2 linked regions of the Pelodiscus sinensis genome follow. The protein of the gene in region 2 binds, or shares a complex with, the protein of the main gene of each other region. Links are inferred from orthologs where the notes say so. Each region holds a gene or a part of one and is shown on either strand. Other genes may lie near its edges.

Evidence for each region.
Region 1: the proteins of PTPN6 (region 2) and NKG2-A/NKG2-B type II integral membrane protein-like are in contact, whole or in part, in an NMR structure (PDB 2YU7), measured with the Homo sapiens proteins. The link is inferred for Pelodiscus sinensis from reciprocal best matches to the Homo sapiens genes PTPN6 and KLRC1. Residues at the interface, in NP_002822.2 of Homo sapiens: Gly117, Gly118, Glu121, Arg136, Ser138, Leu139, Ser140, Val146, Thr165, His166, Ile167, Lys168, Val178, Gly179, Gly180, Leu181, Glu182, Ile199, Glu200, Glu201, Ala202; in NP_002250.2 of Homo sapiens: Ile38, Thr39, Tyr40, Ala41, Glu42, Leu43, Asn44, Leu45, Gln46, Lys47.

What each region holds. Positions count from the first base shown.
Region 1 is NC_134711.1:135,403,145-135,414,253, reverse strand, and holds the start of NKG2-A/NKG2-B type II integral membrane protein-like, read right to left. Parts: upstream 4,236-11,109; 5' UTR 4,101-4,235; intron 1-4,100. UniProt on the Homo sapiens protein: Immune inhibitory receptor involved in self-nonself discrimination.
Region 2 is NC_134711.1:138,129,597-138,139,794, forward strand, and holds the start of PTPN6 (tyrosine-protein phosphatase non-receptor type 6), read right to left. Parts: upstream 4,135-10,198; 5' UTR 3,980-4,134; intron 3,779-3,979; 5' UTR 3,726-3,778; coding exon 3,712-3,725; intron 1-3,711. Other genes in the region: C1H12orf57 (protein C10), read right to left, coding at 6,820-6,968, 7,273-7,449, 7,631-7,685. UniProt on the Homo sapiens protein: Tyrosine phosphatase enzyme that plays important roles in controlling immune signaling pathways and fundamental physiological processes such as hematopoiesis.

The sequences.
Region 1 (11,109 bases), about 2.7 Mb from region 2:
CCTAATATGCCATTAGCCTTCTTGGCTACAAGGGCACACTGTTGACTCATATCCAGCTTCTCATCCACTGTAACCCCCAGGTCCTTTTCTGCAGAACTACTACTTAACTGGTTGATCCCCAGTAGGCATCAGTGCTCCAAGAATGGCCATTTGAGATGTGCACCTCCTCCACCTGCTCTTCCCCTTGATTGCACAATGCTCCTTGAGTCCAGACAGGCAGAGCCCTGGGACTGCATTCTGCTCCGTGACAGCTCTGGGTACATCTGGCATAATGCATCCTTTGGGAGTCTGTGACAAGGACACAGCAGTAGTCTGGAATGGGGAAAGGATCCCTGCCTCTCACATGCCAGGGAGTTCAGGAAGCAGCGTGCAGATAGTCAGGAAGGAAAGGTTTCCTCTTTCCCCCTGGCTGGTCAAAGCAGGGAAGCCCCCAGGACTTGTGACTAGTATTTTCAGGTGAGATTTTTTTCTTAGCGTTGTTTGTTCCCATAGTGATATAGAACAAAGCAGGGTATGAAAAGCAACTTGGGTCTGGAGATTGCTTCCCTTCCCTAGCTGGTGAAACAGGGCCCTCTCCCCACCTCATGCATGGTGGATACAGCAGCCCTGCACTGTACTCAGCCTGGAGCTTACTCTCTTAAGCATCTTGTAGGGTTCTCTGCATGGCTTTATCCAGGCTCATTTCTAATCTTGCATGTCAAGGGATTTCCACCATCTACCTTGGGAAATTCTTTTGTCTGAACTCTTGCTTTACATCTATTTCTTCAATTTCACACCACCCTGAACAGTCCATTTGGCTTCTAGGTGCAGACACATTGTCAGTATTTCTAGGCAGTAATTGTGTATCGCCTTTTAGTCATGGCTTGAACAAAGTTCATTGCACACACAGTTTTTCAGTCTTTCTTTAGAAGCTAGTCCCTCCAGGCCCTTTAGTAAAATGCATCTTCTGAATGCCTTCCATCTGCCCACTACTTTCTGTTTTATTTTTTAAACACTTAGGCTGTGTCTAGACTGGCATGATTTTGCGCAAATACTTTTAATGGAAAAGATGTGCTTTTGTGCAAAAGCATCCGTGCCGGTGTAGACGCTCTCTTGCACAAGAAAGCTCCAATGGCCATTTTAACCATCAGGCTTTCTTGCGCCAGAAATTAACGTGGCTTTCTACACTGGCCTCTTGCACAAGTATATTGCGCAAGGGGGCTTATCCTTGAGCAGAAGCATCGGAATATTTGTGCAAGAACCACTAATTTTGTACATTACAAAGGCAGTGTTCTTGCGCAAATACTCGTGGCCAGTGTAGACAGGCAGTCACTTTTGCGCAAAATCATGCCAATCTAGATGCAGCCTTATTTATCTAAATCTATGGGACAGGGTCCATGGCAAAAATGTTCATACATGAGGGATAAAAATTAGGCTTCCTATTCTGTGTGGAGGTGCCTATTTACGTATCCTAGTTTTGAGAAGTGCTGAGCTCCCGATAGCAGCCATAGACTTGGAGGGAACCAACAGGTGCTCAGTATGTTTAAGCATGAATTTACTTTTTAGAGGCCTACTATGAATTTAGGAGGCTACCTTTAGTACCCTTTTTTTGAACATCTTGACCCATGTCCCTGTGTTCTGTTCAGCCAGCTACACAGTAGGCATTCAACAAATCTGTACTGCTATAAAAGGAGAGGCATCCGTCATGACCTCTGTCACAGAGAACAGACTTCCCACGAGACTCCCCTGCCTCTGACATGTCACAAGATGCCATGCATTGGGAGGGGGAGGAGGAAGGTGCAGCTCAGGCACTTTGTGCGCCTTTAACTTTCCCACCGAGTTGCCAGAGACCAACCAGCCACTGCCGAGTAATGGCGCACACCCCTCCCGGGCAGTGCAACCTGCGCGCCACTCCTGTGTCACTGCCCAGTCCCTCTTGCCCACCTTGAGTGCGCCGGGACTTGGGCGAGGTTGCTCTGCTGTATGGTCAGCAGGCGTGGGGGGACTCACACTGAAGTGGGGTCTGAGAGGTCCCGTCACCCAAGCAACTGCCAGAATCCAGCCCCCTCCTGGTGTGAGCCTAGGCACTCCACTCCCCCCAGCAGCCCATTAAATACCTGAGTCAACCCCTCAGTACTGCGCCATGCCCCATGCTTGCAAACCTGGCCCCGAAATGCCTCCCCTTGCTGTGACCCTGAAATCCTCCCTCCTCCCCCTCAGACTGGTTCAGCTAAGTTAGCAGCCCATGGGCTGAGCGTGGAATGGAGGCCGCGCCTTGCCAGGAGTGCTGTGAGCCAGCAGGCTGGTCAGGATACAGCCCGCTGGCACCTGGATAACCAACTCCAGCTGCACCCGGTGCTCTCCAGTGGGTGTGAGTGCACGGTGTGCATGGGCAGTGCGAGGTGGGGGCAGAGCAGCGAGGACACGGCCATGGCAGCAATGGGTCCTTTATGGGCAAAATGGCAGCTAGGTCTGCTTTTGCCCCCCTGCGCCAGGCCAACCTGAGTGTACGTCTACTGTCACAACGGGATGGGTAATGCTAGTAAATAATAAAAGCTTCAAATAATGACTCAGAATGGCAGTGCACTAAATTGAAAATGCACTAAGAATACCACACTCATCGGGGCCATAGAGACACAGACCTATAATCAGAGCACCTTCCAATGCTTAAACTGTTAGCTAGTTTTTTGCAAAATGTCTGATCTGCTATCCACTCTAACTCCTAGGTTACTTTCATCATTACTGGTTTCATTTCTCCCTATCACTGGATAGCCATGTATTGGATTACTACATCTGCTGTAACAGTTTTAACATTATTTTGTGCTCACTTTGCTAAACTTTCCAAGTAGGTCTGTGTTATCTGTCTGATCTTGTGTTTGCAACACCCCTCCATTTAAAATCATTAATTTTGATTACATTAGAAGGCTATATAATTCAGTTTCCAATATAGTTCTGAAGATGATAAATAATAAAGATCTTACCATTAATCTCAGTCCATTTTTACTTAGCATTGTCTTTGGTTCACAATATTTCAAACAATGTTTTATTCATTTATAATGTTCACATTCAAGATTATCTGAATTAATTTGCCAAGTAAGATTTCTTGGGAAACACTATCAAATTCCTTACAAAAAATCAAGATATATCTCTGGTTTTCCTCAGCTTATACTGTTTTTCTAGGTTGTCCTACTGGAAGATTTCTCTGGTGTTGATTGGGTCCTTCAGGGCAGGGAGCTGGGTGTGTGTATAGGGGGTGTAGGAGTCAGGTTTGGGATTTGAGGAGGAGCTCAGGGCATGAGTTTGGAGGATGTGTGGGTGCTGCAGTCACCATTGGGGAATGAGGAAGGGCTCAAGGCAGGGGACTGAGGAGCCAGTTCAGGAGCCAGTGAGGGCCATGTTGTCTGGGTGGCAGCTCCATGGGGCTGGCTGCAGTGAGGGCCACACTGGCTGGGGGTTGAGTGGGAAGCTTATCTCCACCCCTGACCTCTGCTGTCCTGATGAAGTTATAGCTGTCCCCATCTCCATCTCTGGCCCCTTGCTGCCTTCTTGTGATCATTACAGAGTATAAGTGTTCCTGCTAGCAATCCCCTCCCTTTTTATGGTATGAAAAACAATTGCATTCCAGGCACACCCCAATGTCCTGGCACAACCAAACTGACCTTGTTTTAAGTTAGGGTAAGAGGAAGCTGCCTACCAAAGTTGGTGGTCCTAGCTCTTAATTGTTTAGAAGGAGTTCTTGAACACACAGCCAAACAGACAGACTTGCTTGCTTGCTCACAGGCAAACTCCCTCAAGGATATAGTAGATACACTGCACCAGAGATGCATAAAATACAGAAATTTAGAATTTAAATGCTGATTTGCCTGCAATAATAAATCCTTTCACAGTCACTTAATACCAATACCAGTAAGGAAATGGTTCTCTATTCCATACTGTCACTCTTAAATTTAAGTGAGAAGAAAAATATTGTAAACAGACAATATTTGCAAACACATGTCTGTTTCAGACTAATTCCATTCATTCCTTGAAGTATACCAAAGTAATAAACTATACCTCTTTCAACAACTACATGCTCTAACAATGAAGATCCCCATCACCCCAACAAAATGTTCTTCTCATACCTTTGGAGCTCTCTTTGATAGGAAACTGGAGTGCAGGAACTAGACTTAGGTGCGCCACAAATATTTCTGAGAGAGACAATCTGGTTTCACCCCGTCACTGCTTTCAAAGAGATGGACAACAGGAACCAGGAGGAGAAGAATTGTACGCTCTGCAATGCTCCATCTGAAAGTTGCACAGGAAGTTTCCACTCTGCTAGTTTGAAATGTGATGCCCCCTCACTAAGCGCTCACAGGAACTTCTCTCTTTGTAGGTTTACCTATTAAATTAATCTTCTTCAGGACACTTAAATATTAAATGTAGTGTTGTCTAAGCAATCAATGATTAGCTAGTATCTCTGCATTTCTTAAAACGTGGGGCAAGAATCTTTTTTTTAATTACTCTGGTGTAAACCCACATTTAGGTGAATATATTCACTTCGTATTTATACTTCCATAAATGAGATCAGAGTGTAGCCTGAAATCCCTGCTCATGTTTCCTACTTGCATTATCAGGGACGCAAGTGTAGCCTAGTGGAGACCTGGATTTATCTTCAGAACCCTGCATGGATACAAAATTGGTATCCTCACCCACATCTGAATCTGCAAAAGTGATCTGTGAATATAAAGTAGATATCTGCAAACTTGCAGGGTTTCAGATACAAAATTGTATCCACATCAATATCTGCAGAAATGATACCAATGGATATAAAGCAGATATCCACAGGTTTGCAGGGCTCCACCTATCGTGGACCTGTGGACTATGGCCAAGCCACTTGGATTATCTGCAAGAGGATGAAATTGAAATAAGAAAAACTCTATCTCTAGTCTTTGCCTGAACCATAACTAGGGGTCTATCACATTTGAAGCTGTGAAAATGGCATCATGGATAGTGAAATCTGGTCTCCAGCTACTCAGTTCTGAAGTCAGTTCTGTACCACCCTTATTTCTCTGCAGCTTCAGAGCTGGGTGCCTGGGCATCAGCTGCTGCCTCCTGCCCCCAGCTGCTGTCAGCATTGCCGCCAGCAAGAGCACAGAAGCAATACCATGACCTCCACATGGCAATAACACACACCAATACCAGGACCCCCATATAGACTTGTGCCTTTGGAGCCCAGCTATTAGTTTGAGGAATCACATATTTTTTGTGCTTTGATGATGTCATAAATAGCAAATTTTTCAGGTATGTTACTCATATGCAAAATTTGCTGTTTGTGCGGTGACCAAGACCTGAAAAGTGTTTCTCTGCAATTAAGTAGACCACTAACCCTAACCAAGCATTTCTCCATTACATCTTTTCTGGATCCTGTGTCTGAAACCAGGGGGCTTAAACCCTGGTTTACAGGACTCGGTGGTACTAGGCACCCATGATTTACCATACAGCATCCAGTCACCAGTTTCCCGAATAGCAGCTGAACTTTGACAGAAGTCGCATGTCCTGGGATCTGATTGGTGGAATGCTGGGAGCCCTGTTTGGTCTGTAATCTCTATTTAACCCAAACAACTGGGTTCTTCCTTCTCAGGACTTTTCCTTTTGTACCTACCTAATACTGATCTAAAGTCTGGGGGGGGGGGGGGGGAGCCATGATAGTCTGTAACTGAAAAAACTTTAAAAACAACAAATAGTCCTGCAGCACCTTAGAGACTAACAAGACTTGTAGCTTGATGATGAGCTTTCATGGGCTCAGTCCACTTCTTCAGATGAATGGAGCAAGAAGTCCAGTTTCCAAATAAATAATGGAGTAAGAAAGGGAATTGAGGGGGAAGAGAAGGAAAAAGAAGGCAAAAAAGGGGGGAAATTGTGAATTAGAGAGTCCATGCTAAATGAAGCTGATAGAGAGGGTACTAAATACATTTAAGGTCTTGGCCTTGGCTTTGGTCTTGGTCTTGGCTTTTTATGTCATTAGAATGTGGAATGTAGCATGTCATCCAAGCAAGGTCTTTGTTGAGACCTCTGTTGCAGGGATCAGACTTGTACATTAAATTCAGTTCTGCAGCCTCCCTTTCAAGCTGCTTTAGTAACTTCGTGGGCTGTGCCCACGAAAGCTCATGATCCCATCTACATGTTTTGTTAGTTTATAAAGTGCTACCAGACCATTTGCTTGCTGTTTTTTTCTGTAACAGACTAACTCGGCTACTCCCGGAATCTTCACCCTGTCTGACTCTCAGTTTTACTTTCTGGCTTGCATCAGACTCTGACTTCCTGGAATGATCTGGTCTGACTCCTGACGTCTGCTCTGACTACTAGATTAGACTGTACAGGCCCCACTCATGACAGCCTGTTCCCAGTTTGTCTAACTGACTTTTCCATTACTTCCTCAAAAACTTTTCCCCTTTTCCAGAAAAAAGGGCTTCAGACATTACCAGCCTTATTTATTCATATGCTGGAACATTTGTAACAAAGCTACTGCAATGATTGGGTGAGTGCTGGACTTTTGGTCTATGAAGCAGTCTGGAGAGGAGAATGCAAATGAGTCTGTAGCGGCACAATACTGGATGCTCTTTGGGTTTGTCTACGCTATACTATGCAGTTGATCTTCCAGGGATTGAATTAATGGGTCTAGTGAAGATGTGCTAATTGGAACTGAGAGGGCTCCCCCATTGGCACCAGCAGTCCTACTCCTATGAGGAGCAAAGGAAGTCAAAGGGAGCGTGTGCTCCCATCCACCTCCCGCTGTGTGGATGGCGCCAAAATATGATGTAAAATACTTCCACTCCAGCGACGTAATTAATGTAGCTGGAGTAGCGAATCTTAAGTCGACTTTCCCCTTCCGTATGGACTAGACCTTTGTGTTATCCCCCATTGTAGTAACCAGGACTGGACAGAGGCATGGGCGAGCCGGGCAGCTGCCCAGGGCGCCAACCAATGGGGGGCACCTGATGGCAGCTATAAGGGGCGCACAGCATCCCTTACAGCTGCCATCAGGTGCCACGCGCCTGGCTCCTGTAGTGCCGGCCCCGTGGCACTGGCCAGCAACTCACTTCCCCCCATGGCCACGGGGCCCTGCACGGCCTGGCCATGGCTGACCCACGCATGCGCTGTGCGCACGGGCCCGCACACCCTGAGGGGGTGGGCCTGCACCCCACAGGCAGGCCCACACATGTGCCGTGTGCCCAGGGCACCAAAAGGGCTTGGGCCAGCCCTGGTGGTAGCTATGTCTGTCTGGATACCATCTGACAGCTATTATATTTTGGGGAAAAGAAAATCTTAATCAAAAGAAAAATGAATATCTGAGACTAAAACAGTCGAGCGGCGTTGGATGGGAGAGGACTTAGGGTGCTGTGGGCATGTATACTTTCTGTCTGGCAAGATGGGATTGAAAGTAGGTCTGAGAGGGCAGTCAGTGGGTGGTCCTTCCAGGGGAGAGGTTGGGACAGAGCTCTTTGTTACATCACTTCCCTTCAAGTCTTTTCAAGAACAGTGAACTTCACCCTAGTTGCAGACACACAAGCTCACCCACATGGGTTGTGCCATGTTTCAAAGCACTCTCCTGCACAGCTTATATCACTGCTCTTGCCAAAGAAGTTTTCGTGGGCCAAAAAATTGTCAATTGTCCACGATTTGACCTCAGGAAGTGGGTCTGGCCATGAAAGCTCATCACCTAATAAACCATCTTGTTAGTCTTTAAAGTGCTATATAGTCCTGTCTTACGTTTCAGCTACACCAGACTAACACGGCTACATTTCTATCACTTGCCAAAGAACTGGAGCTGTCATTGCTCCTCCACAGCTAAAACCAATCTCCCACTCTCAGCCTGATTTGGATCATGCCACAAGTACAAACCAATCTACCTGACCATGGACACAGCAAGCTGTGAAGGGCATTTCTCCCTGCAGGCATCACCCAGTAATCAGGCAGGGCAGGGCAGGGCAGGGCAGGGCAGGGCAGAGTCTCTTCTTTCCTGGCACTCCTGTTGGTAGCCACTTTGGTTTTGCTGTTCTCCAACCCATGTGTGGCTTGGCCCTCCTGCTAGGTCATGTGACCTAGTCCACTCCTTTCAGGCTACACAAAAGAAATTCCAATAATGGGGAAGTTGTCCAAGGCCTGCATGGGACATGAGGCTTTCTCCATAAGTCAAGTAATGAAAGAGAAGGAGGATTTAATAGTGGCTGCATTTCCCTTGTGGGCCAGTGGGGTCTCCTGGGGGCAACAGTGCACTGTGCTGAAAGGAGAGGTCATGCTACACTGCCCACTTGACTGAGACAGCCATGCTCCCATGGAGTTCTCTTCTCCTTCCATGGTGAGAGAGGACACATGAGACCCAGGAAAGGGCTGAGACAACTTGGTGCATGAACTGTGAGTTGCTGGAGATACCAGTTTTCCCTCCAATCCAAGCAGTGTAGAAGGATGGGCTGCCTTCTAAGTTTCCCCTAGAGGCCAAGGGTGGTGCTGTGGCCTCAGTTTCCCTTACTGGCTCCTCAATCACAGAAAGCCTTTCTCCAATCCAATAACAGCCCTTCCTGGTGTCTAGGTTTATCAACATAACTATCCAAACCATTACATTGCTTTCAGGGCTGATAAGAGAAAAACATACCCTGAATGTGGTGGTCTGGTCTGGGCTCTTGCCATTTAGGAGTTTTCAAAGCTTAAGTGTTGATTTAGTTGCACCAGAACAGAGCTGGGCTGGGAATGTGCACTGCCTGCAGCACTTTGCCAGAAAATGTCCTTGGCTCATGCTGATAAAGTCCTAAGTGCCCAGTGAGCACACTAAGCAGTGTCAGAAAAACACTTCTCCCTGTAATTGTAGTGCATAATAAGGCACATTGTAGGATGAAGCAAGACACATCTGTAGGTATTAATTTTTTATTTCAGACCCACTGGAAGGATTAATTTATAACAAACCAAGACCAAGATAGAGTAGATGTGCAGCCTCTTATACTGGGTTCCTTTGAGCATGAGATCCTCTAGTGAAAGGTGTCCAGGTACAGTGTGCTCTGTCCTGAAATCTGCAGAAGGATCATGTCTACTATAGATCTGTGCTGCCCAGGAAATGGTAAGTACCTGGGCCTGGTGATCTGTGACTGCAGTAGAACCACTGGCAGATGTAAGGGCTCTGAGCCATGTGTTTTAATAGAGAAATAGGATTCATCTACATCTGGCACAGGAGTGGTTAGCCCCTTTCACTTCAAATATTTCTTTTAATAGCCTGCCTCTTTAAAGAGACCCAGGGTATGTCTACACGAGACCCCTAGTTCGAACTAGGGTGGTTAATGTAGGCATTCGAACTTGCAAATGAAGCCTGGGATTTAAATATCCCGGGCTTCATTTGCATGTTCCCAGGCAGGCGTCATTTTAAAATCTCCTTAGTTCAAACTGACTGCCTGCAGCTACACGTGGCAGTCAGAAGTTAATCCAAACTAAGTCCTTAGTTTGGATTAACTGTTACTCCTCCTGCAATGAAGTGGCTAGTGTAGACATACCCTTACAGACTGCTTGGCCTGACTTCTGACCAAGTCATAGGGTATGTCACGAAGCATGTCTATACTACAGCCATTAGTTCGAATTAACTTTAATAGTGGCTATACATGCAAACCGCTATTTCAAAATTTAATTCAAACTAGTGGAGTGCTTAATTCGAACTAGGTAAACCTCATTCTATGAGGACTAACACCTAGTTCGAATTAAGTAGTTTGAATTAAGGTCTGTGTAGCCCATTCTGGGCCAAACCAGGGAGACTCTTCTGCCCTCTCCCAGCACAGGAACCCTTAAAGGGGCACGGGCTGGCTACGGTGCTCGTGCCAGTTGCAAGCCTGCCAGCACCCAGCCAGCAGACCCTGCACCTGGCACAAGATGAGCCAGCCACCCGATGCCACCCAGCCCTCCGCCTCTTCCCAGGACCAGGCTGACGGCTCCCAGGACCCTGCACAGAGTTGCAAAAGGCGGGCGCCCATCTGGTCTAGTGTGGAGATCGTTGACCTCACTGAGGTTTGGGGGGAGGCCTCCAACGTCCACGACCCTCACTAGGCACAGGAACACGGCCTTCTACAGCCACATGGCCGCCAGCCTGGCCGCCAGAGGCCACATACGGATCCAGGAGCAGGTCCACTGCAAAATTAAGGACCTGCAGCAGGCCTGCTCCAGAGCCTCCCAACCAGGGGCCAACCCAGAGGCCTGCCCTCACTTTGAGGCCCTGGACCACATCCTGGGGTCTCACGCAGTCCATGCCCCCCAGGTGGTGGTCGACCCCGGGGCAGAGACGGAGAAAGAGGAGGATGCCGAGAGCTAGGAGCCGCAGGAGCCTGCAGGGAGCCTGCCCAAGATCCCAGCCCCCCCGAGTCATCCCACAGAGCACATCTGCTGTGTCGTCCAAGGCCGAGGAGGGCTCCACATGTGAGAGCCATCATGCTCCCCTTATATGTATGGGAGGTGTGGGGGGAGAGAGAGCCCAGAGACCATGTGCCTGGGCCTTGCCCACCACGGAGCAGCAGCTGGGTGTCATGCAGGGGCCCTGGCCCGTTCCCCACACGCCGACCTCGCCTTGCAGAGGGGAGCTGGGTTTCACCCACTGTGTCCCCAGGGAGAACTGACCACTGCTCTTGTTTCACCACAGCCGCAGCACCTGGGACTGCAGGGCGCACCATTTCACCTGCAACAGCCACCCACACCCAGGCCAGCAGACGCGCCAGGAACCAGGAGGAGTACCAGCGGTGGCACCTGCGGCTACTGGGGCAGCAGCTCTGCAACCAGGAGCACTGGGTCCGCGGCAGCAGAGCTTGCAGGCACTGGAGGAGCAGGGCCGTGCCCTCAGAGGTCACCTCCAGACCCCGGTGGACAGGTTCCTGCCTCCTCCTGCTCCAGCCCCTGCGGCCGCCCCAACTCTTGCACCTCCTCCCACTCCAGCTCCCCCTCCCACTTCCTCGGCCTACCCCCGTCCTTCCTGCCCCCCCTTCACATCCACTGCCCCCCGACGCCTCCGCACCTGCAGTGCTGCGAGACGGGAGAGCCAGCAATACCCCAAACCCTGAGCTTTCCCTTCCCTTCCCTTCCCTTCCCTTCCCTTCCCTTCCCTTCCCTTCCCTTCCCTTCCCTTCC
Region 2 (10,198 bases):
ATGCCTATTAATTTCATTTGGTGACTCCTACTTCTTGTGTTCCTTATCTACTTATCCACACCAGTCATGATTTTATACACCTCCATCACATCTCCCCTTAGTTATATCTTTTCCACATTGAAATGTCCCAGTCTTATTAATCTCTTTTCCTGTGGCTGTTCCATACTCCTCATCATTTCTGTTGCCCTTTTCTGAACCTTTCCCCATTCCAATATACCTTTATTTGAATGAGGCAACCACATCTACACACAGTATTAAAGATTTAATTGCTTTCTATAGAGGCACTAAGGTACTTTCTGTCTTATTCTTACCCCTTTCTTAATGATTCCCAAACTTCTGTTCGCTTTTTTGACTGCCACTTCACACTGAGGCTACATCTAGACTGCAGGATTCTTGTGCACGAAGCTTTTCACTGAAGAGATCTTCTGCAAAAACTTCTTGTGCAAGAGCGCATCCACACTGCAAAAGTGCATCGAAATCGAAAAAGTGATGCAATTTTGTGAAAGAGAGCGTCCACACTCACTGGATGCTTTTTCACATATAAAGCCACCTGGAACCAGTTCTAGCTAGGCTTTAGGTTACGACACATGCTTAAAGGATCCCCCTGGACAGCCACTTCTCTGTTTCTGCTGCCTGCTTGTGGACCTCTGTTGAGGGACAGCAAAGCTTCAGCAGTGCCTGCTGTGGTTGCCCTGTTCTTTTTGGGGACACCACAGCTTTTTGCTTGGTGTGTGCTATAGAGTGGGCACTGCCCCTGGGCAGGTGACAGCCCCACACGGCCATGCTGCAGTTCCTGCAGCATTTGCTTCCAGCTGCCTACATGTTCCTGCTTGAGGTGTGGACGCTCCGTGGGTTTCTGCGCAAAAACCCTGTAGTGTAGATATAGCCTGAATGGATGTTTTCAGAGAATTATCCACAATGACTCTAAGATCTTTTTCTTGAGTGGTAATAGCTAATTTAGACCTCATCATTTGCAATGGATAGCTAGGGAATGAGGTTTTCCAGTGTGAATTACTTTGCATTTATCAACACTGAATTTCATCTGCCATTTTGTTGAGCAGTCACTCATTTTGTGAGATCCTTTTGAACTAACTGGACTGAAATTAACTGCAATCCAGGTGTCCTTGCGGAGGCTCAATGAAAACCTCTGCTTAGTGGGCAGAAGCCATCAAAGCATGAAGCAAAGCTATAAGATACAGCCCAATGGACTGGAGAAAAATACTGGTCCTATCCCAGTGCTGTCACGCCAATCAGTGGGATTGCCCTCACTTGCAATGCTGCGCTCTGCTCTAGCTACTCTCTCACGTCTGAAAAGACTGGGACTGCTCAGAGAAGTAACAGGTAAGAGGAGACAAGAAAGAGACCTGGCACAGCAGCAGTATGGCAGCGACTAGAGACTGGGAGTGCAGTGCGCTAGGCAACACGTTCATATCAGACACAGGTACAGCCTCTGCCCCAAATTGCCTATTATCTACATCAGGGTTTCCCAACCTATGGGTCACCATTACATTTCAAAAGGGTCACCAGGTGTCTCCCCAGGAGACTTTTTGTGAATTGCCCTGGGTCACCAAGTCTTCCTGAATTGTCGGAATGGGTCCCCCTCTGGAAAAGGTTGGGAACCGCTAATCTACATCGATGAAAAAAAGTCCATGTCTACACTGCCAGCACCGCTGCAGTGGCCACTTCCGTCAACAGGCCCAACCCCATGGGAGCACTCACCGGGAAAATTCTACAGTGGCAGAAGGGGTTTTTCTGTCAGTGTAGTAAATCTCTCTCTCTAGGTCTTGTCTAGTCTTTAATTCTGAGTCATGTCACTTTGCCACTGTAGCACTTTAGTGAAGAAAGACGCTACCTATGTTAGCGGGTTGTAGTTCTCTTCTCAGCATACGTATTCCATCTCCCAGAAAAGCAGTGGCTGGGTTGACAGGAGAATTCTCCTGTGGATCTAGCACTGTATACACTGGGGCTACGTCTACACTATGCACTTTGCCAGAAGAGGCAATGTAAATTAAGCGCTGATTAGCATTTTCTTGTGCTTCATTTGTGTAATCTCTTCCAATCCGTTTTTGTGCAAGAGGTTTTTGCGCAAAAACATGCAGCGTGGACGTTTCCTTTTTGCACAAAACACCCTTTTTGCACAAGATCCTTATGCCTCTCCCCGTCCACACTGCATGTTTTTGTGCAAAAACCTCTTGTGCAAAAATGGATGGGAAGAGATTACACAAATGAAGCATGAGAAAATGCTAATTGGCACTTCATTTAGGTTTCCTCTTCTGGCAAAGCAGCTCAAAAGTTTGCTTCTATCTCCAACAGAAACTAGTCCAGTAACACATATTACCTCACTCACCTTGTCTCTCTGACCCCATGAGTGAGGGTGCTGTGTGCCCGGGGGCAAAAGCAAAATTACCCCACACACCCCTCTGCCCGGCGGGGCCCCAAATCAGGTGCACAACTGAGCCCGACCCTGGGCGGGGGGGGAGCTTGTACCGTGTTTTCCCCTGTGCCCTCGTCTGGGGCCAGGCCCCTAGACACACTAACCCATCGGCAGACATGGAGGAAGGTGAGGCTAGGGGTGGAGAGGAGGCTCCAACCAATGGCGGTGGGCAGAGGAGGAGCAGGAGAGCTGAGGGACGACAGGGGGAACAGAGGGGGACTAAATTGGCACCCTCTAGCATTGCGCCCGGGGGCAACTGCCCCCTCGTTCCCCGCTTGATGAGCATAGCAGGATTCATAAAAGGACTGAACGTTATATGAATGACCAGAACCCTCACACTTACTTTTGATCAGAGAAAACAGAAGGATAGAATGTCTCCTGCTTCTGATCATAACCCAGGAACCAAGATGGATAAGAAAGAAACCCCTCGTGGAAACACATTATTGAACAATAAACTAAGGGGTTTTCTGCACCTTCATCCAACACAGCTGACTGTGGCCACTGTCAGAGACAGGAGACTGAACTGGACAGACCAGATCTGGCAATTGCTACCTATGTTCATACTCTGCCTGGACCTTCCTCCAGATGAGAAAGGACATTAGTGGAAGACAGCCAGGAAGACAGCACTGGAGCTATGCCTCAGTGTTCCTGTACCATGGGCATGGGAGCAGCTAGGGAGAGGAGACTTCATTAAGGCTCCTCATTCCCTTCTGACAGTTCTACAGCACTTTAATTTCTTGCGGTACTGATCCTGGTTTAGAAGTCAGCCTGGGAGCCATGTGGAGGGGACCCCATGATTCGTGACACTGTGGAACCCACACCCTTCTGCAGATTACAGAATTTCAGCAGCTGTTTCTAAACAATTCAGCTGCCAGCCCTCTTGGCTGTAGAGGAAGCTTTCTGAAGGTGCTTTCCTGCAGTGCTGTCTGCTGAAGTCTGCACAGCAAATATGTCTGGCGAGTGCCCAAACTCCTGGGCTCCATTTCCAGAGGAGGAGCAGGGCCAGTGAATTAAAGTGGGGAGAGGCCTGGCCTCTGGCAAAATTATGGCTTTGTCTTTGATTTGCTTTAGGACAAGGGCCAGTCCCTTCCCATCTGTGCCTTGGAACAAACGAGCTTTACTTTTGCTAGGGTGAGCAGTACTGACCCCCATCTCTCCTATAGCCCCCTTGCCCACCCTCTCCATTGCTGCTTTCCCCACATCTGCCTCTCACTTCCCAGCTCTTTCTCCCATCACAAACCCTACAGCCAAGAAACCCCTTGGAGAAATACACTCACCCACAGGATGGCATCAGGCCCCTGGTCACAGGGATCCTCGCTGAGAACCCTCAGCCCAAGGACCCTACTGAAAAGGAGACAAACAATGCTGCTGATACCAAGGAAACAGGAAGAATTTCCTGAGAGAGGGGCCCAGGACTGAAGCTCATTACAGACTCAGGCATGGGGGTGGATGTAGCACCCAGAGGGAAAGCATAGCTAATTTCATAGAGCCAGGAACAAAAAGGTAACTGGACCTAGATCACGGCTAGTAAGATTCCCGACTCACCTGCATCTAATCCATTCAGTAAGGCTCTGAATGCCGCTTACTCTCCAGCCCTAATACTTCCTCCCTCACATGGTCACAATAGTTGAGGGTGAGCTGGAGCAGAGAGATGAGGAAGCCTGAGCTGAGGCAACCAGGCCCAGTACAAAGGGCTTCCCAGATCACCACTTGCAAATCTCTCCCTGAGCGGTAGTTAATAAATAAATAGGCGGGTGGGGGAGGAGACACATGGGCAGGAGAGCAGGTGAGCAAGGTAGGCACTGCCTGTTCTCCCTGCCTCCTCCCCACCAAACCTTCAGCCTCCCTGGAGAACTAACAGTATCACAGAGGATAAAAACAAATTAAACTCCTCTGTCATCTGGAAATAGCCACCTGAGCCACAGCTCCTGGCCCTTCCAATCCTAGGCTCCGCACACAGCCTTGCTAGTGCCCCTCAGCCCTGCCCTGCAGCCCCCTGCTATTCCAGCCACGGGCTCCCCTCACAGCCCTGCCAGTGCCCCTCAGCCCTGCCCTGCAGCCCCCTGCTATTCCAGCCCTGGGCTTCCCTCACAGCCCCGCCAGTGCCCCTCAGTCCTGCCCTGCAGCCCCCTGCTATTCCAGTCCTGGGCTCCCCTCACAGCCCTGCCAGTGCCTCTCAGTCCTGCCCTGCAGCCCCCTGCTATTCCAGTCCTGGGCTCCCCTCACAGCCCTGCCAGTGCCCCTCAGCCCTGCCCTGCAGCCCCCTGCTATTCCAGCCCTGGGCTCCCCTCACAGCCCTGCCAGTGCCCCTCAGTCCTGCCCTGCAGCCCCCTGCTATTCCAGTCCTGGGCTCCCCTCACAGCCCTGCCAGTGCCCCTCAGCCCTGCCCTGCAGCCCCGGGTTCCCCTCACAGCCCTGCCAGTGCCCCTCAGCCCTGCCCTGCAGTCCCTGCTATTCCAGCCCTGGGCTCCCCTCACAGCCCTGCCAGTGCCCCTCAGCCCTGCCCTGCAGCCCCCTGCTAATCCAGCTCCCCAAACAGCCCTGCCAGTGTCACTCAAATCCCAGAATACCTACATCCCCTACAAATTTAGTGCCCCCTTTTATTTTTAAAAAGTGATTACACCAGAAATGCAGAATCATGAAGTTGAAGCTATGTCTACACATAAAATATTACAGATTACTCCTACCACAGGTCCCTTTTATCAGCCCCTGAAGACAACCTGGAGGTCTGCATTTAAAATGCTATTGTCCTGGGTCAGTGCAGACCAGTTGTGAACAACTTGAGGCCCTTTGGAATTCTGTGCATGGCCCATGAGCCATTTTGTTTACTGTTGCCCACACACAGGATTGAGATTCTGCTGGTTTTCGTCCACACTTTTTCCCTACTCGTATTACTAAAGTGACACGCATGAAAAGCAAGGGCACATGACATGAGGCGTCTGCTGACTGCACATGACAACACTGACAGAGCTGTGCACGCTCTCTGCATCCAGCCAAAGCACTGCTGTGGTTCAATCGGCACACCCCACAAATTCTAGTTACATTAGTGCAGTTTGCAAAACAACTCTATCCTGGGAGACTGTCTTGGTTAGGACAATTTTGTGACCCACTGAGATGAAGGAGGATCTCTCATGCGGCCCACTCACCAGCCCAGGTTGCCCCTTACTGGGGTAGACCCTTACCAGCAATGGGGGGATTCTGTCATTACTGCAGAAAATCCACCTCCCTGAGAGGCATTACGTAGGGTGATGGAAGAATTCTTCCATCAATCTAGTGCTGCCTGCACAGGGACTTGGGTTAGCTTAACCAAGTCAGTTAAGGGCGTTACATCCCTGAGCAACATAGCTAGATCAATCTTATTTTCTACTGTAGACCAACCCTGAATTATAAAGACCTTCATGCTCAATAATTGTGAAACTTCTTAAATTTCCTGCATCAATATGTTATTGTTCCCCTTATTTGGGGTCTTTGTCACATATTGTTTGTCTAACCTTGCCTGGACTAGAAGACTAAATTGTATTTACAAATACCTTAGCAAATATGTTTTGAACAATGCATTGTTAAATGTTATCTTTTAAGAAGACAGAGTTTGACACCTTTTAAAACACGTAAGCTTGCGGTGGTAAACCCTAAGATCCCTCTAACTATGTTAAACACGCCTAAACTACTGTGTAAAAATGTGTTAGTGAAGAAGTGCCTGCTGCAATATTTTTAAACACAATCTACTTTTCTAAACTAGACCCAGCCATTGCATTGAACAATGGAGCCTTGACAGGTTGAGAGATACACGGAGCCCCACCCCAAATGCCTGATGTTCCAGTCCTGAGCCCCCTTCACTCTGCTGCCTTATGTCCTGGCCTACAGCACTCCCTGTAGGATTTACAAGGTTGGAGGTTTAGAAAGTGTCAATTGGTTTCAAGCCTTCTGCTTCCAGGCCTAAGATTGCGATTCCCCATACCACACATCTTGATTTCCTTAAATTTAGCTCATGCAAGGTACTTATCTCCTGAAGGCAGAACTACACAGATTAGGGGATTACCAATAAGGGGGAGGGGAGAGGTAACCAGAGCTCCCTTCTACCTTACATTCAGTGGGGCGTGCTCTCTTTCCCAGGAAGCAGCGCTAAGATCCAGACTGGGTACACACTCACTGAGAAACACATGGGGACATTTTCAAAGCAGCTTTTATTCACAAGCTCAAAAAACAAAGATGCACAAAGAAACCAATTGCTGCAGAGTTTCCAAGAAGTAGGGGGCTCTTCTGGCAAACTGTAGCACACTGATGAGTGGTGGAGAGCAGTCCTGGAATCCCACTTGTCAAAAACTCTCACAGGCATGTAGTGTGGCATGACTTGGCCCAAGAAGGCCAGCAGAGGGTCCCGGTTTTCAGGAGACAGGCACACCCCCTGTCCCAGCCCCGTGTGGGGGCAGTGTCATTGGAGGCAGGAACATGGCTTTTAGCTTCCCAGACATGTTTGCAATCTCAGGATCCTGGGACTCATAAGATTTTATCAGTCGGGCAAATTTCAGGACACCTAAGAGAAAGAAGGGGAAGGAAGAAAACTGCTGGGAAGAGATCTAGCTGGTGACAGTATTCCCCAGTACCCCCCCCCCCCCCGGTAGGTTTTCCAAGGATACCATCCTGTGGCCAGACAAAGGAGCTGCAGGTGGAGAATACTGCACATGTGGGTCCAACGGCTGCACTAAAGTGCTGCTTGCACTGCCCTTTCCCCGGGCCCACACCGCTTTGTGCTGCCTGCCCTCGGCGGGAGCCTCCGACACAAAGGCCGGAAAGGGAAACCACCGCAGCCCGGCTCTGCCCCGGCCCGGCGAACCCACCTTCCCCATCGCTGCTGAAGCCGTAGGCTTTGATCACGTCCTGCTGGATCTGGGTGGCCACGGGCAGCAGGAACTGCAGCATCTTGCCCATGTCGTTGCAGGCGTTGTCCCGGGCCTCCTCCATGCGCTGCGCGTTCTCCGGGGAGCCGAAGGCCTTGATGACCTCGGCCAGCGCCACTGGGGAGACAGGCAGAGCAGTGAGCCCCGCCCAGCCCGCCCCGGGTGCAGCGCGCTGCGAGGGCAATGGGGCGCGGGGCCGCTGGGCCGGGACCCGCCTTCCCCGCTCTGCAGTGCAAGTCGCGATTTGCGGGGGGGGGGGCGCAAGTCGGGGCGCGCGGGGGCTCCTACCCGCCCTCACCTTTGGCCTGCTCGGCGCTCAGCGAGCCCGGCGCGGCGGGGGCCGGGGCAGCCATGAGGCGCTGCAGGCGCCAGCCGGGACCGCGGGCGCGAGCCGGCGCCGCTGACGTCAGGGGGCCGGGAGGGGCCGCAGCAGACGGGGCGGGACAGGGGCCGCGCGGCTGCGCTGCCGGGCCTGTGGGCGGGAGGCATCTCGCGCTGGGGGTGCAGCCCGGGAGCCCCCATCGCTCCCCGCCGCCCACACCCAGCAGAGCGCGAGCGGCCCCAGTCTGACATTCACCGCGGAGTGAGGCTCCCTGGCAGCGCAGAGAGCCTGCTAGACAAATACTAAAAGAGCTGAAATCACTGCGGAGAGGAGCCCGAGCGCGGGCCCCCAGCGGCTGCCAGTGCGCGCTCGCTCAGGGTGACTTCCAAGCAAGGGCGTGTAGAGCTCCTGCGGACTCTGCACAGCCCCCCCCCCAAAGCACCGGCCCCCAAAACCACATGCCACGTGCTGTGAGCCCCGCAAAGGAGCGTGTATTGAACAAATTAGCGCTATGCAGATGAGGTGATTTCCTATTGGTGTAAAAACGCAAAGGCCACGCCCCCTTACGACAGTGGCGGCGGGGCCGGTGGAAAAAAGCCCGGCGCGGGGCGGGGCACGTGCTCTCAGGGCAGCTTGCACTAGGCAGGAGAGTGATAGAGGCGCCCGGCGAGTGCACAGCAGTGCCCTGCCTGCGGCGTTTGTTTACGCGCTGTACTGGCTAGCACTGAGTTGGGGGCTGCTCTCCGCCCCTCTGCAGAGCTCATAAGGCAGCTTGGCACCATGGGCACTGCATAGGGTTGCCAGGTGGCCTGTTTTTGCCTGAACAGTCAGTTATTCATGGCACCTCTGGTTTAAAAAAAAAAAATACTGGACATGTAAAATATCTGATAGTTTGGCTATCTCTACATTGGCAAGATTTTGCACAAGAACACTGACATTCTAATGTATGAAATCAGTGCTTCTTGCCCAAATACTCTGACGCTCCAGCTCAGGGGTAAGCCCTCTTGCGCAAGAGGCCAGTGTAGACAGAATTACTTGCACAAGAAAGCCCAATGTTTAAAATGGCCATCAGAGCTTTCTTGCACAAGAGAGCATCTACACTGGCACGGATGCTTTTGTGCAAAAAGCACATCTCTTGTGCAAAGGCACATGCCACTGTAGATGCTCTCTTGTGCAAATACTTTAACGCAAAAACTCTTGCATTAAAAGTATTTGCGCAAAATCATGCCAGTGTAGATGTAGCCCTGCTGTCTGACCTGGGTGGGAGTGATTGGGGGAGAGGGGAAGCAAGTAGCACAGAGATTTTTAAAGGTGCAGTTTCCTAGCAACTTCGTTTTTTTAATCAACCAATTTTTTTCCTGCCATGTTCAGGATTTTTTGTGAAAATATCTGGCAACCCTAGTTCTGGGCATTGTCCCCCTTTCTGCTCCGAGCGCTATCACCGTTGTGTCCTCCAGGCTGGCAACCACCCTCAGACAGGTCCCAGGAGTTCTGAGTGGGGAGCCCCAGGGCTATGTCTACACTTGCGACTTCTTGCGCAAGAAATATGTGAATGAGGCTAAGCGTGGAATATCACTGAGCCTCATTTGCATACCTAATGAACCACCATTTTTGCAGAAGAGGCTCTTGTGCCAGAAGGAGCTGTCGATACTGCCCCTTCTTGCGCAAGAAAAACCCTCTTACGCAATGCTGTTATTCCTGAAAATAATCCGCATAGCGGCATTGCGCAAAGAGGGTTTTTCTTGCGCAAGAAGGGACAGTGTAGACAGCTCCTTCTGGCGCAACAGCCTCTTCTGCAAAATGGCAGCTCATTAGGTATGCAAATGAGGCTCAGTGATATTCCACACTTAGCTTCATTCACATATTTCTCACACAAGAAGGTGCAAGTGTAGACATAGCCTGGGAGTGCAGGCTCTGGAGTGGAGCTGGGGATGAGGGGCTCAGAGCTGGGACAGAGGGTTGGGGTGTTAGGGCTCTGCTCTTGCTGGGCTGCATGGGAGTCAGGGGAGGCTCAGGGTTAGGCCACAGTAGGGGGGTTTGGGGCCCAGCCACTCCAACCACAGCAGGTGGATCTGGGCTGCTTGGGTTGTGGTGGTGAGGGGTAATCCCAGCTGACGGGTTCCAGGCTGCTCCCGGGCCTGGGCTACCTGGCTGCTGTGCTAGGGTAGATCTCCAGGGCCAGGCCACGGCAGGAGCTGGGTCTGGGGCTGGGCTGCTCAAGCTGTAGCAGGTGAGGGTCCAAGCCTGGGCCATGGTTGCCTTCCAGCTTTTGCAGAAAAACTTGCCAGCTGTCTACACTGACCACTTGAATTTGCGCAAGAACACTGACGATCTGATGTAAGATTGTCAGTGTTCTTTCGCAAATACTATGATGCTCCCGTTCGGGGAAAAAGCCCTCTTGCGCAAATGTATTTGAGCAAGAGGGCCAGTGTAGACAGCTAAAAACTGTTTTACACAAAAAAGCCCCGAAGGCAAAAATGGCGTCTAGATTGGCACAGATGCTTTTCCGCAAAAAGTGCTTTTGCGCAAAAGCGTCCGTGCCAA